Lonchura striata: one gene and its partner. The protein of the gene in region 1 interacts with the protein of each later gene in a pairwise test. Links are inferred from orthologs where the notes say so. Each region holds a gene or a part of one and is shown in the gene's direction. Other genes may lie near its edges.

Evidence for each region.
Region 2: the proteins of XRN2 (region 1) and TARDBP interact in binary tests that used the Homo sapiens proteins (3 or more experiments, as listed by UniProt). The link is inferred for Lonchura striata from reciprocal best matches to the Homo sapiens genes XRN2 and TARDBP.

The regions. Positions count from the first base shown.
Region 1 is NC_134605.1:28,057,097-28,064,856, reverse strand, and holds the start of XRN2 (5'-3' exoribonuclease 2), read left to right. Parts: upstream 1-4,718; 5' UTR 4,719-4,782; coding exon 4,783-4,857; intron 4,858-7,760. Other genes in the region: KIZ (centrosomal protein kizuna), read left to right, coding at 1,004-1,107. UniProt on the Homo sapiens protein: Possesses 5'->3' exoribonuclease activity. May promote the termination of transcription by RNA polymerase II.
Region 2 is NC_134626.1:2,036,052-2,043,330, forward strand, and holds the start of TARDBP (TAR DNA-binding protein 43), read left to right. Parts: upstream 1-4,243; 5' UTR 4,244-4,446; intron 4,447-4,831; 5' UTR 4,832-4,846; coding exon 4,847-5,084; intron 5,085-5,810; coding exon 5,811-5,974; intron 5,975-6,288; coding exon 6,289-6,429; intron 6,430-7,113; coding exon 7,114-7,279. UniProt on the Homo sapiens protein: RNA-binding protein that is involved in various steps of RNA biogenesis and processing.

The DNA.
Region 1 (7,760 bases):
TGAGGTACAGATGCCATCAAGGACAGCTGCTTTGGTGGCACTTGAAAGACTCTGGCATGCCTGGCCCCTTTCTTGTCTTGGAGCCATTCAGCATGGCAGCCAGCGCAGGGCTGGCTCTGATGTTCCCAGCAGAGCACAGCCCCACGGCCCAGGGGGCCGGGGATGGAGGATGAAAGATGCAGATGCTGCATTTGTAGATAAGGTGTTCATGCAACTGGTGCTGTCAGAGGCACCAAAGTGCCTCAAACATGAGCTGCAGTGTGTGTGTGAGTTGTGACAGCCTTCCTCCTCCTGCTGTCCTGGCCCAGCCCTGAGCCTCATTCTAGCTGCCTTTGGACAGCCAGCAGCCTCTGGATTAGGTAGGAACAGAGAGCATGGCTCTGTCAGCTACTGTGGCCCTGACTTCATGTGCCACACTTCCCACTGTGTCCTATGCATGGGTCAAAAGAATTCACATCTCCAGAAATCTCTCAGGCACTCTGAATTTCCGTGGGATTCTGCTGCCGTCAGTAAAAGAGTTTGCTGATTCTCAGAGCCTAAGGTAAAAGCTATGTATGTGCTCCACTGAGATCAGACCTGCATGGATCTGCTCTGATCTCCAAGTGGTGATTTTTCATTTGTGATGCCATTGCTATTTTTGTGCCAACCCTGTGATGTCATGGCCCTCTGGTGACTTCATCGTAGGGTCAAGTAGTGGGGAGAAAGGGGAAGAGAATAGACAAAGCTGCAATTCAGACAGCATTTGGTCAAGTAAATTGCTTGGAGTGGAAATATTCTGCCCAGCTACCTTGTGGCACAATGGAGTGGAAGCATTGAATGAGGCCGCTGTCCAGCAGCCGCTCTGCTGCCGGACACTATGCCAGACACGCACACCTGGGGCTGAGGCTCCCAACTCCCAGCCCTCAGTCAGCCTCAGGAGACCTGTCCTGTGCTCATGGCTGTGACAAGTGGCATGGTCACAGAAAAGGTTTTGCACCTCTGCTTTCCGTCTTCTCACCCACAGCATTCTGGGGCGAATCTGACGACAGCTGCTCCGAACTCGAGGCTGCTCTGCGCCCACGGACCCACGGCACAGATTCAGACGACTTTGATGACTTCTATGACTGAGATTCTCTCACTGGCTTTTGGGAAGAAACAAACTGTGTTTTCTTTTACACAATGACTGTGCCACAGGCTGCAGCACTGCCTGTTACTTAATTGGCAAAGAAAATTTAAATACCAAATAAATGTAATGGGTCCTATATATTGTCTGTGTGCTCTCTCTGACCTGCAGTGTTTTCCTGCTCTGATGGGAATCCTGCCCCATGACAGTCCCCTCCTGAGGCTTGTGGCATCCCAATATTGGGACTTCAGTGCTAGACAGGGTTTGGGAAGAAGCAGACATGCATTGTGGGTATGCAGATAGGCGCTGCTGGGGTGGGCTGGTATGTTTGATCTTTATCTTCTTCTGCAACAGATCAAGAAGAAGAAATGCATAAAATGTCCATTTGTAATTCAGCACATTTTGGAACAGAGCAGCATTTACATGTGGCAAGCCCCAGCGCTTTCCTGCTTTTCCCTGCTTTGTGAAATCCATGCTGGTGTTGCTGTGTGGACATCACAGTAATTGGATGACTCCAGGAGCTTAATGCATTTTTAATTTTCTTCTTCCTTTTATCTAAAAATTACGTTCATTAAACATGAGATTTTCTTTGGGATGGAGAAACTAGGGGACATGTTAAAGCTGTTCTTAAATGACAACAAGTTCAAAAGCAGAAAGCAGCACCCCAATTAAGCTGTGCTGTGCTGTGCTGCACTCCCACGTCTCCCAACACAGGCACCCATCTCTGCACCCCGTTCCTCAAAACCCAGCTAGAAATGGGACCAACATTCAGTGTAATAAGAGGAACGTGTAGGCTGAAAGCTCAACAGAACAAAATGACTTGCAGAAGTCTTGGAACCAAGCAGAAGCTATTGGCACAGCTGGCTGCTGTGAGTAAGGCTGACATCCTGGGAGACTGCTGGGACTGTTGCAACTGACAGAGTGAGAGGACACAGTCTTTAGCTGCACCAAAGGAAATACAGGTTGGATATTAGGAAAAAGGTTTTTTACAGAAAGAGTGATAAAGTACTGGAATCATCTGCCTGCGGAGATGGTGGAGACACCATCCGTGGATCTGCTTTAAAATAGACTAGATGTGGCACTCAGTGTCGTGGTTGAGGTGTTAGGGCATGGGTTGTACTCAATGATCTTGAAGGTCCCTTTCAACCTTGTGGTTCTGTAACTAAAGCCAGACTTTACTGAGGGCTTTAATGTCCTTTTTACCACACCAACGCTCTGTGTCCTGTGGGACTGCTGCCTGCTGTCAGTGCTGTGGGGTGTGCATGTTGCTCAAGGCCTGGGAGGAACGTGGAGAGGCGGAGCAGCCTCACTGGAAAAATCCAGCAGCTTGCGCTACCAAGGGACATTGCCTCAGCAGCGCAGTGTCTTTGCAGCTCTGAGCTCCTCCTGAGTGACTCTGGGCTGCTGATGTCAGCCCGCTTTCTGTCTGCTGCATGACACCAGTGTGTGGGGCTTTCCACCACCAGAGTCTGGCTTAGCCCTGACAGCGGCCCATGACAGGTGACGGATGGCTGTAGAGCCACATGCAGGCAATCTCTGCCTCTTGGTGTCGGAGCAATAGCCAGGTTCCTCCAGAGCGTTATTGATGATACTCTTATTGTGCACAGACTCATTTGATTCAAAACATCCTGCCAGTCAACTAGTCAACTTCCCTGTGCTCTTTCACAGCTGTCACGCTGGCAGCCTGGCCCTGGTTGCAGGTGATGCTGACAGACAGAGGGACTGGAATCAATACACCCCAAACAGATTCCCATCAGCGCACCACTCATCTGAGGAAAGTGCCTGAGTAGGAAGCCTTCCTTGCTCCTGCCCAGGGTTCTCTGCTCTGTGCTGTGCTCATGGATGTGCAATTAGCAGGTGAGACCCAGGCTCACTGCCCAGTGCAGCTGCTGATGCTCAGACCAACTTTTCAAGGAATTGTCTGCTGCAGTATTCATTTTTCCAGCACTTGTTTACCCAAGCAATTATAAGATAAGATGATCGCCTTTCATTTGCATCTGCCAGCCTTCTGTTTTCTTCATCATTATCAGAAAAACTGATTGCCCATCAATACAAATAAAATGTTCATGCTAAGCTGCCATGCTCCCTACAAAATTCCGGGAGGAGAAGCACTACAATAGGAAGCTTCAATCAGGGAACATTTTGTAAGGAACAGATAAAGCACAATCTTCAGCTGATACCACAGGTGTGGTTGGTGCGACTACAAAGTTGCAGGGGAAATTTATTGAAGTCACAGATTTTATTGAGGGGAATGACAACAAAAAATGGCTTAACAACAGCCAAATGAGGATAAGAATAATGAGAGACACAATACTGGGTTAATTTATTCTACAGTGAATTAGCCAGGTACCAAAGTTCTCCTCTGCAACCCAAATCGGCAGCGTTGACTCAGCAAGCACTGCTGAGACTTTGTTATTTTTGTTAATGACTCCCAGGCTGCTGTTCCCTGTCCTTGGCCCTGCGGCTGCCCTGCTAACGGAGCTGATGGATGGCAACAGGACATGGCAGAGCAAAACCTGGCTTGTCTTAATCCCATTTAATTCCCAACCGTTTAATTCCATTTTGGTGCTGTTGAACGGCCACAAATTAACAGTATTTGCTTATGCCACGGGCAGAGCAAGGGCATGGGGACTCCTTGCCTCATGTTGCTCTCAGGAATCACAAAGAGCCACTTCCCACTGGAAATGTCCCCTCAGAGGGCACAGAGCAGCTGTGCCCTGAATTGCTTCTGTTGTTGCCAAACGCAGGATAAGTCAAAATTGTCTGAAGTCGGGATGTTCTCTAATGTAATATTTTTGTATACTTCCATGCAGAGACGTATTAGTGCATCCCTTCAAGGACACCCTGGAACCACCAAGCTTTAAGGATATAGGAAATCTAGATGTTGATGCCTATGTGTGCATTCCTAACTTGGCAAAACACCCAAATTCCATGTATCCTACAGCTGAACCGTGTTTGTCGTAACACTGAAACTCACACCTACAGGCCAAGAAGAGGTGCAGACCCTTCCCCTGAGCACATGGAAGAGTTGGCTGGGGTTACGTAACTCATGTGGAAATAACTGATCAATCCTAAAAGAGGGGCTGTGCTGAGGATGTTGCCAGCTCTGGATTTTTAAGTAACAGTGGTTGTGCTGCATTTAGGGAATATATTGAGCATGCAGCTCACGCAGCACTGAAATAAATCATCCATGTCTCTCTTAATTATTGACTTGTTGGACAACAGTGCCGTGCAGCCTAAAGCACCCCTCAGCAGCACCCCATGTTTTAACAAGGTGCTAAAGGAAGGTGATTCTCCTGTTAAACTGCTTCTTTATGGCCGTTTTTGAAGAGAAGTTGTCGCACTTGTCTTGGCTGAGTGTGAGGGCGGCAGTGGGGCTGCCTCAGGCTTCCCTCAGGTTTCGCTTTCCCTCCTGGATATCACTCTTGTGCCCTCTGGTTTTGCTTTTTCCCTGTGAGCGTCCCTTTTGTATGCCAGGAGCTGCGCAGACCCGTTTCGGGGCGCTGTCCCCTCACGCTCCCGGCTCCCGCCGCTGCCGCGCTCCCCGCCCCCCCCCAGACGGCGGCACCGCGCCACGTGACCGCGCGCGCCGCCCCCTCCCTTCCCGGCATGCCCCGCGCCGCCCCCTCGACCCGGAAGTGCCGCGGGTGCCGCTGGCCGCAGCCCGTCTCGCTGCCGCCATGGGGGTCCCGGCCTTCTTCCGCTGGCTCAGCCGCAAGTACCCCTCCATTATCGTCAACTGCGTCGAGGAGAAGGTGAGCAGGCCGCCCGGCATGGCACGGGCCCGGCATGGCGCCCCGGGGCGCCTCGGTCGTGGCGGCCGCACCGGTGCTGAGCCCCCGCTGTTGCCCCCGTGGGCTGCCCCGAGGCCTTTCCAAGGCATGTCGGTGGGTAGGTGGACTAGGGTTGTGTTTGGGTTTGTTTCGGGTGCTGTTTAGGATTGGGAGAAGTTTGAGGGTTTTTTGGGTTTTGGAGTTTTTTTCGGATTTTTAATCCCGATGGAAGCGGGAGGAGTTATCCCAGCGCCTCGTTGAGTGCCGCCGGCGCGCGTGAGCGCTCCTGGAAGGAACGGGCACGTGGAGGAAGTGGGAATGGGCGCCGGAGCAGGGAATCGAGCCCCTTCTCCGGCCGCTTCGCTGGAATTCCAGCCCTTCCCGACGCCCTCGGCTCTGCCCTCATGCGACTTCGATCCGGAAAGGTGGGATTTGAGGCACTGGTGAAATTTGAGTAGGGAGCAGTGGGAGTGCTTTTTGCTGTTTCTTGAATGTTTTTCACAGTCCTTTCTTTTCCACAACTTTTTTTGATGGGAATTAGAAGCCGCAGCAAGCTCCAGAACTTCCTGGAAACACGAGCGCAGCCGCCTCTGGCGCTACATCCAAGACTTACACCAAGCCTGTGCTTGTGCTCGAACCTTGATCAGCCTCAGGGGGTTTTGTCTCGTTGTTGGTGTTTTCTAGTTCAGGATAAACATCTCCTGGCCGAACAGGGAGCTGATTATTCCAAAGATGTCTCTAAAATATGGCTTTCCATGGCGGCAGCAGCAGCAGGTTTCAGTGAAGGCTCTGACCACAGCTGCCTTTCCAGGCAGTATTGAAGCTGAAGTGATGTTTGTTTCCGTGTTTTTTTGGACTGGTTCCTTCAGGCACATGCCTGCAACTGTGAGGGTGTTGTACCATCCTATGGGTCACAGTGGGAAGGGACAGGAAGGATGGGGGGGGGTTGTCTCCCTTCAGCAGCAGGCTTTGAGTGGCTGCACCATGGTGAATTACCACACTGTGCCCTGAGTGTGGCAAGTTTGCCTTCTCAGGGCTAATTCGAGCCTTTCTGAGGAGGCAGACTCTGGAGCTCTTGCTTTCCAAACTGCTTTTCCCATGGGCTTTTCCAAATAATTTGTGTTGTCTTGTTAGATGGTACTGGCTGTGGTGTGCTGGTTTGGAAAGTTCAGGGCATGTGGTGGCGCTTCTGCCTCTCTGCTCCTTCTCCCAAGGTGTGCTCACCTTGGGGAAATACTTGGAAGGGGATAGAGTGGGAGCATGATGGAGGAGGTCAGGGAGAAAAGGGTGAAGTGGTGAAATTCCGTGTTGAGGCTGCATGTGTACCCTGCCTGCAGCAGGATGTTCCGCTCTGCGCTTTTTCAGGGTGTTTTTGTGTTTCCGATTCAGGCAGTGAAGCACAGATTTGGTTAAAATTGTGAGTTGCTTTTGTGGTTTTATTACAGCTGTGATTTCAGTCCCTCTCAGCAAGGTAGGAAGTTTATTTTGCCTGTCGCTGCGAGAAGTGAATTTTTAATAGGGGGCAATTAAGATCTAAGAATCTGTCTGGGAATTTTTATAGAATAAAAGGGGGGTTGTGGGCTTAACAGTTTCTCTTAATGCTGAGCTCCAGCAGCACTGGCTCTTCTGGTTTCTGCACCAAACGCCTGAGGTGACCTCTCCCGAGGATCTGGGAACCCTCAGGCTCTGGGGCTGTCTTGGATAACCCTTTAAGATCTGTTATTGAAAAGCAGCAACAATTTAAACAGCAATTATATCTGTAACAGTTTGGGGCAGTTGTCTCTAAGAGCAGATTTGCCTTTTTCAGCACATTTGTAAATGTTAGATTAATCTCTGTGTAATCAAAGCTGTTCTCACATTTAGGCAAAACAAAGGTTTGCATAACCCTGGTTTTACTGATTGTGTGTCTCTTTTTATCAGTCTTTAATAACTGAGCTTGTACCATCCAAAGTTATTTATTAAAATAAGTGGAAAGACATAACAAATTCTTTGAATTAGATTTGCCGTAAGTGAAGTGGCAGCTCTTGCTGTCCTCATCCATGTTGCCTTGTTCCAACTCAAGAGCACGTGCAATTACAGCCAGGACAGCACATGGATAAATCATATTCATTAACATTTTTTTATATTCAAATCTGGTCATAAATCTGAGAGTGGACTAGGACATCAGGGAGAAGCTGTAGTTTGTCTTACTGTCAGTGAATTTAAGCTTCTCTCACAATGTAATCAGCTCTGTGTTTGTTTTAGGATTGCTGTAAATCTCTCTAATCAGAAATTTTGTATCTCCTCGTAGCTTGTCTCTCAACTGAAAAGTTGATCCTTGTTCTCTTACCTTGCCAGATTAATCAGATTTAAGAAAAAGAAATAATCTTCTTCTTAAGCTAAGCAGGAAGAATGAGAGGAAGATCTTGACGATAATAAAAAATCCAGGAGAGAATATTCTTAATCAAATGGACAGGAATTAATAAAGCTGCAGCTGAAGTATCATGTTTGAAGATCTGTTTTCAATGGTTTCAAAAGAGGCTGTAGATGAGAAGTGAACAGTTTAGTTATATCACAAGTGATATCGCTGCCACATACTTCAGCCTTCCTTCCACACGACTGCTGCATGAGAACCCCAGTGGGTCTGTGAAGGGGGGCTCATTCTCTGCCTCACAGAGCTGGGATTCCTTCTGAATCCCATTGAGCCCTGGAGAGAGGGTGGCTGGGGATCAAGGAGAATTCAGGGGGTAGCCCAGAGGAAGGTACAGTGTTTGCACTGACACTTAGTTTCTGCTAGCACTACCTTCTTTTGAGTGTGTGTGTGTGTCTGGAGAGCTCAGTAAAGGAGGCAAACATTGGTGCTTGGGGGTGGCATCTGTCAGGATAGCTGTGCCAAATGTAAATAC
Region 2 (7,279 bases), on another chromosome or scaffold:
AGGCTGGAAATTTGGGTGGACCTCAATTTATGGTGGACAGCCAAAGAACAACGGTCTGATGTCATCATAAATCATTTATATTGCAAATGATTTAAAATAATGAAAACCCATATGCATTAAATTTTGACCTGTACATCCACTTGAGATATTTTAAGTAGACAAAAAATAGATTTTACATAAATCTTCAGTAAATGTATTTAAAAAAAAATCACGAGGCAGTAAAGCCTCTTTTAAAAACAGTCTTTGTCTTATCCTTCAGCTCTTGCTTCAATGTGCATTATTCAAAACCAGCATTATTCAAAACCAGTCTGCCCTGTCCTTGAGAGAAAAGCAGAAAAAGATAAAAAACATAGAAGGAAAACTAGACAAAACAGCTTGTGAACAAATCCTGCCAAAGCTGTCCTTCACACTATTCCAGGTGTTACAGAGTACTTGCTACACCTTACCCAAGCCACCTGTGGCTTTTGAAAGATTCTATTTCCAACCCCCTCTATAAATTCCAATGTTGTATTTGGTATTTAGAACCTGTCACACACCAAGACATGCAATTTTTTTTACCAGTTCCTAGTCTGTGGCCTTTATCCTTTGGTTTATGCCAACCGATGCCAATGGAAGTTCATGCTCTTCCTTGCTACGAGTTACTATAGAATCTTGCCAAAAAGAGACTCTGAATCCCAGGCTCTGGATCCCAGCTCCACTACAGCATAAAAGGCATCAAATTCCTTTGGAAGCTGCATGGCACATCAGCATCAGGAACTGACTAGATACCTCTGTGAATCATGGGGAGAAATTCTTCCCAGGCTCTGCTATTGGATGCTCTAGAAAGGCAAGGGAGATGACTTGAAGATGGTTTGATCTAACTCTGCCAAACAAAACAGAGTAAAGTGATTTTTGTATTCCCTGTGTAAGCTGCAATTGTTTGACAGTTCTCACAGGCACCACTCAAACAGGAGGATGGAGATGTCACATAATCCCCACTGTTCTCTTCGCAGCTTGTAAAGGTCAGGCCAATGCCAGTAATGGCTTTGGAGCTCAGAGAGGCCTTTTGGTCACCATTTGGGTTTCCAGTAACTACAGAAGATTCTTAGTTCCTACCAGAGCTCTCAGCCAGGCCAGTCCTTCTGTTTGCTGGGGCTGGTTTGCTGAGTAGCAGCCAGGACACCACCACACCTGGCTGGTGAGCCTTGGAGTTCCAGTGACATGCACTCCAACAAGCCTCACCCAATAGCTACTAGGGCTGAAAGGACCCAGACTGAGCCACTGAGCCCTTCTGGAACTTTAAAAGAGCCAAACCTATAAAAAATCTGATTGTCAATATGTTTGCTGAGAGATTAAAAAAAACACATCACCTGTTCTAATCAGTCTGGAAGAGTTAAGTAACATGGTATGAACATTAGTATGAACCAAAAGGAATGCAGAAACTCTTCCTCTTTATGCAACGGGACTAAACTATCTCAGGTGGATTAGAAATGAGATAATTGGAATCATCATTTCATAGGATGATGGAAAAATTGCCTTAAATATTTCAGGCACTATAATGAAGCCTTAAGTGATGTTTTAGCTGAGGGAATTAGGAGTGTGAGTACCATGGACTAAGAAATCTTTTCAGGTACTTTATGTGGGTGAAAACTACTTACTTTGTTTCAGGGAAACTTTTCTTTAGTAGTTGTTGTAGACTGATGGGCATGAGTAAAATTTTTATGTTGATAATTTGCCTGTAAATGGAAAGCTCTAATTCTGGTAGGTATTTATGGAGAAACTGTTCATCCTCCTTATCAATCTGACTAGACCAATACACCATTATTCATGAAATTGTCCTGTCTTTTACTGCTCTGTAATTAGGAATAGGCCCAGGCATTTCATGTTTTTCATGTACCCATAGTTGCATGGGGGTTTTTGTATAAGGAGCTTATATTTAAGTGCCCATTGATAATGTTTTTTATTCCAGGTTCTTTTGGGAGGGTGAAGAGTTGATCATTATACTGAGTTTGCTTGTACCCATGAGCACACTTAACCCAGAGCAGCAAACAGTTATTGCATTGCATTTTGTTTTGTGCCTCTGGGCGCACTTAAATGATGGCTAGTACCACATATTGTATTTGTCTGCACCTATGGGCCCTTGGAATTGCCAGTGTGAAGGAACTGGTGAATTAACTAGTGGTATGCCCGCTGGTGTACTTACTTCAAGAGCAATACTACTGTTAATTGCTTAACTTAAACCTAATAATAATGCAAAATAACAGAACGGAAGTGCTGCAAGAATCCCGATTCAACCTTTGCTTAATTCTAAGCTTGTTTGTTGCCAAAACTGAGGAAGTTTTGGGGGCAGAAGTCACTCGTGGCTAATTGTCCTTTCCCTCCCTGTTTTACATTCAGCACAGAGCTCCCTGTTCTCAAGCTTCTACCTGCACAAAATCTAGTCCAAGGCTGGTGCTTACTCTGCTCATTAGTGAAATTACCACCAGATGCTGTGTGAGATGGAGGCCACTCTGACTCAGCACCACAACAACCTCTTCAACAGTGCTATTGCTGAACTCTGAGTGGAAATGGTGCAGCACATAATGCTGACACACAATTACCACTCCATCCTCACAGCATGCCATGTTCATGACACTGGCTGCCTCCATGCTGACTTGACAACAACAGAACTGGCTTTGGGCTGTATATTGTGAATCACTAGAAAAGGTACACATTTCAAGAGCATTACCTTCTCTTGTTAGCCTCTGTCTAGTCAGGTCTTCTCAGAACTCTGTTAAAATGGTAATTAAATGGCAAGACTGAGTCTCCTCACTGGCATGGATGAGCTGAACTTCAGTGGTGCTGGGAGCCAATTTTTGCACTTGAAGAAATCTAAAGTGGGAGTCTTAAATACTCTCAGCAGAAGCCATTAATGCAAGGTACTGGATTAACCTTTTCTAGTAGTAGAGTCATCTGTCCTTACTAATAATGAAACTCTGCCGTAGTCAGCCTGGTTAATCTACCTCTTCCTCAGGGAATACTTGCATAAAATCTGCAGAAGGCATGTTGGATCAATTCTTCCTACTCAGTGCAAAATGATGCTGTTCAAGAGCTATACTCAGCCAGTATTGCTCACATGCCTCTGTTGGCAACAGGGCTTGTGTCCTTTTCCAACTTATACATAACATTCAACGCCGACACTTCCAGGGTGATGCTGATAACAGCTGATTGCATCTCTAATGTTTCCTTTCTCTTCTGTCCAATTCTGTGAAAAAGGGATCTTCAAGTGCAAGTGTGGAATCTCCTCCTGTGCAACTAGAAGAGCCCAGGGTACACTTGAGATGATTCACAGGAAAGCTCTCCCCAGGGGTGGAGACCTCTCATTGTACCCTGGAAACACTGCACCACTACTTAGGCCTTGTTAGAAGAGTCTGTGCGGACTGTGATTGGTTTGGTTTTACTCTTAAGTTATGGGAGGGGGTTTTGGTTGTTTTCTGTTTGCTTGAGGTTTTTTTGCTTATTTTGTTGGTTTTCGTAGTTTTTTTTTCTAGAAATTACATAATCTTCTGAGTGGGAAGGGACCCATAACATCAAACTCTCCAACTCCTGCACAGCACATCCCAGCAATCCCACCCTGTCCCTGAGAGCTTTGTTTAAACACTCCTCGAGCTCTGGCAGCCTTGGCACCGTGACCACTGCCCTGGGAGCCTGCCCGACCATCCTCTGGGGGAAGAATCTTTTCCTGATATATTTGCCTGAACTTTCTCTGACCCAGGTCCCGTCAGTGGCCGCAGAGAGCAGAGATCGGAACTCTACCCCTGCGCTGCCCTCACAAGGAAGTTGTAGGCTCCGATGAGGTCTCCCCTCAACACGTCAGGTGAACAAGTTTGGGTTTTGGCACTTTGCGGGTTTTTGTTTGTTTGTTTCGGTTTTGTTTTGTTTTTTTTCCCCTTAAATTAGGTGCCCTGGTTCTTTCTGGTAGCGGAGACGGGAGAGAGGCGTCGCAGAGTTTCGGCAAGGCTGTCTTTACCAGCGGCTGCTCCGGGCGAGCTACTCGGGGCCGTCCCGGGAGCCAAATCCGAATTCGCACTTGTGTCGTTACCGCCCTCACGGACAGGTCCCGCGCGGCGCCGGCTCCCGGCAGCTCCCGCGCTCGCGCAGGCGCGGGCACGACCGCACCACCGGCCCCGCACCTGGGGGAGCGCGGCACTGAGAGCTGCCGTCTCCGCCGCCGGTTCCGAGAACGCCGCTCGAGCTCCGGCTGCGAGCGGGCGGCGCCCGCTGGGGCACGGCCGGGGCTTCACGCTCTGCGGCGTTCCGAGCGCCCGCCGCAGTTCGCCCCCCCCCCCGTCACCCGCCTGGAATAGTTCGGCCCGCGGCCCGGCCTGGCCTTTGAGGTGCCGCGGCCGCCATTTTGTGCGGCGGCGGATAGAGTGCAGTGGAGGTGGTGCTGAGGGGTTCTCGGGACGTCGTTCCCTTCCCTGGCTGGTGAGTGCGGCCGGGTGGGGCCCGGCCCGGTTCGGCTGCGCGCGGTGCTGGGGCGGGTGGAGCCGCGGCCGGAGGTCGCGGGCTTGGGCGGGCCGGGCAGGCGGCGAGGCCGAGGGGGGCTGTGCTCACAGCCTCTCGGGGGGAGCTCATGGCGCCCCTGGGAATTTCCGCCGTGCTCGGGGACCAAGTCGCTGTTGGTATCTCCGTAACTCCAGGACGGGCAGAGGTGTACAGCAGGCCCGGACGCCTTAGTGTTAATGAATAGCGCGTTTCGGTGCTCTCGTGTTGTGTAATAAAGAGATTCGTGCCTCAGGGCGAAGATGAAAGCCAAGTCAGGGGGGGATAGGGTGATCGCTTACGCCTGCTCTTTCCCTTTTGTACTTAGTAACTTCCAGCGAAAATGTCGGAGTATATCCGGGTGACGGAGGACGAGAACGATGAGCCCATCGAAATCCCGTCGGAGGACGACGGCACGGTGCTGTTGTCCACGGTGACGGCGCAGTTCCCTGGGGCGTGCGGTCTGCGCTACAGAAACCCAGTGTCGCAGTGCATGCGAGGAGTCCGGCTGGTCGAGGGCATCCTGCACGCCCCGGAGGCCGGCTGGGGAAACCTCGTCTACGTCGTGAATTATCCCAAAGGTTTGTCCTCGTGGCTTCAGTTCTCTGTTCAGGGCTGCTTTCTTTAAGGTCCCAGTCACTGCTGATCTAACACAGCAACGTGTTACTCTTTAACTCTCTGATTCACAGAGATCAATTGTTTATTCAGGTGTCTGTTCTGCCGAGTAGGTTTGACCCCATTGAGTTTTGTATTTTTTTAACGCTCTACCTAAACAAGTACTTTAAAGACAAAGTCTTGCCTTATCCTTGAAGGCTAGCCTTCAAAGGGTACTGTAGTGTACTGTACTGCACTGTAGTGTTCTGTAATCTCTGTACTCACACACAGTTTTCCTCAAGTCATGGTTTGGTCAGAGATACCACTTAGAAGTGCACAGGAAAGGAGAAACTTGACCACCCTGCTCCACCCCCCAAAAATGAGAGGAAGTAAATAAATTGCTAGTGAAGTAGTCTTGTTAGAAGTTCATGTTTTCCCCACCTTATAGGACTGTGAATGTTGCTGGATAATTCTTCAGTAAACTAATGCAGAACTAACTGGGTCAGTTTGTATTTTGGAAGAGGACTCGATTGTGGACTGGCTTTGGTTCAGGGCAGGCAGATATGTGTTCCATTTAGCCCTGAACAGCTGATGTGTGTCTCTTACAGTCTGTACTCTTCCTCATCACGGGTTATAATTTAACACCATGCAGTTCATAGTCAGTGGGTCAATTTCCAGCGCTGAGGATGTCTAATGTACCTTTTTATATTCAGATAATAAGAGAAAAATGGATGAAACCGATGCATCATCGGCTGTGAAAGTGAAACGAGCTGTACAGAAGACTTCAGATTTAATAGTCTTGGGTCTTCCCTGGAAAACCACTGAACAAGACTTAAAGGAATATTTCAGTACCTTTGGAGAAGTTCTGATGGTGCAGGTAAAATCCATTTGTAGCTCAAGTAAGGAGGGACACTGGGTATATATCAGGCTCCCAAAAAAGCAAGTGGAAACAAAAGAGCTTTATAAACTTGGACAAGATCAGAAACCGTGTCTCTTTCTAAGGATGTCTTTTTTTTTTCCATGCACCTGTTAATTTTGGGAGAAGATGTTAAGGAATTAGAAGTTGCTATGTAAGAATGGTTGTAAGACAGATGAGCTCTCAAACAGATTTTTACCAAATTCATTCAGAAACAACATGCTCCATACTAGTGGTTACTTCTGGGTTTTGTTTTTTTTTTTTTTTCCACCTAGGTTAAGAAGGATATTAAAACAGGCCACTCAAAAGGTTTTGGGTTTGTTCGGTTCACGGATTACGAAACCCAAGTGAAAGTAATGTCTCAGCGTCACATGATCGATGGAAGATGGTGTGACTGTAAACTTCCCAACTCTAAGGTACTTTGGGATTTACTGCTGGTTTTATTTGTACCAAACACTCCAAGTGCACCTCTTTATCAGCTGTGTTAGGGGAGAGCAACTGCACAGAATAACTGTCCGCTCTCAGATGTGGCTTTGCTATGAATGAAAAGAACAAGTGAGAGTAAGGGAGGAAAACAGGCAGCAGGTGGGTGAACTGGAAGTAATTTGAAATGTTGGGAAAATCGCTCATTATGTGAGGGAATGAAGTACAGATAGAAATCTGTGTTTGATGTCCAGCAATACCTGCCTAACTTGCCTGTTGCATGAATAAATGCAGAATAAAGCAGATGGAATCAGTAATTTGGGGAAGAGCAGAACAAGTCTTTGAGCTCCAAACTGAACCTATAGCTTCTATTCTTGTCTCTCTATGCAATTATTACAAAGAAGTGTTCTTCTGTAGTGGCCTTGTCACCATCCCTGTGTGTTGCTCCCATGGTCATTTTCTTAAGGCTCTTCCCCCCCACCTCTACCAAGGTGCAGCCATGTTCTTGGAATAGAATTTTAAGATTTTATTTCTTTTTAAGTCTTAAATCTGCCATCTCAAACTTTCTTCCATCAGCAGCCCTCAGAACAGGCTAGATTAAGAGTGTCATTTGCCATCCTGTAACTCAGTTCTCAAGGACTGTAGTTGTGATACCTTTTTCCTTCAATTCTCTCCAGCAAAGTCCCGACGAACCTTTGCGCAGCAGGAAGGTGTTTGTTGGACGCTGCACCGAGGACATGACGGCAGATGAACTCCGACAGTTCTTTGCCCAGTATGGGGAAGTGGTAGATGTCTTCATTCCTAAACCCTTCCGAGCTTTTGCTTTTGTTACGTTTGCAGATG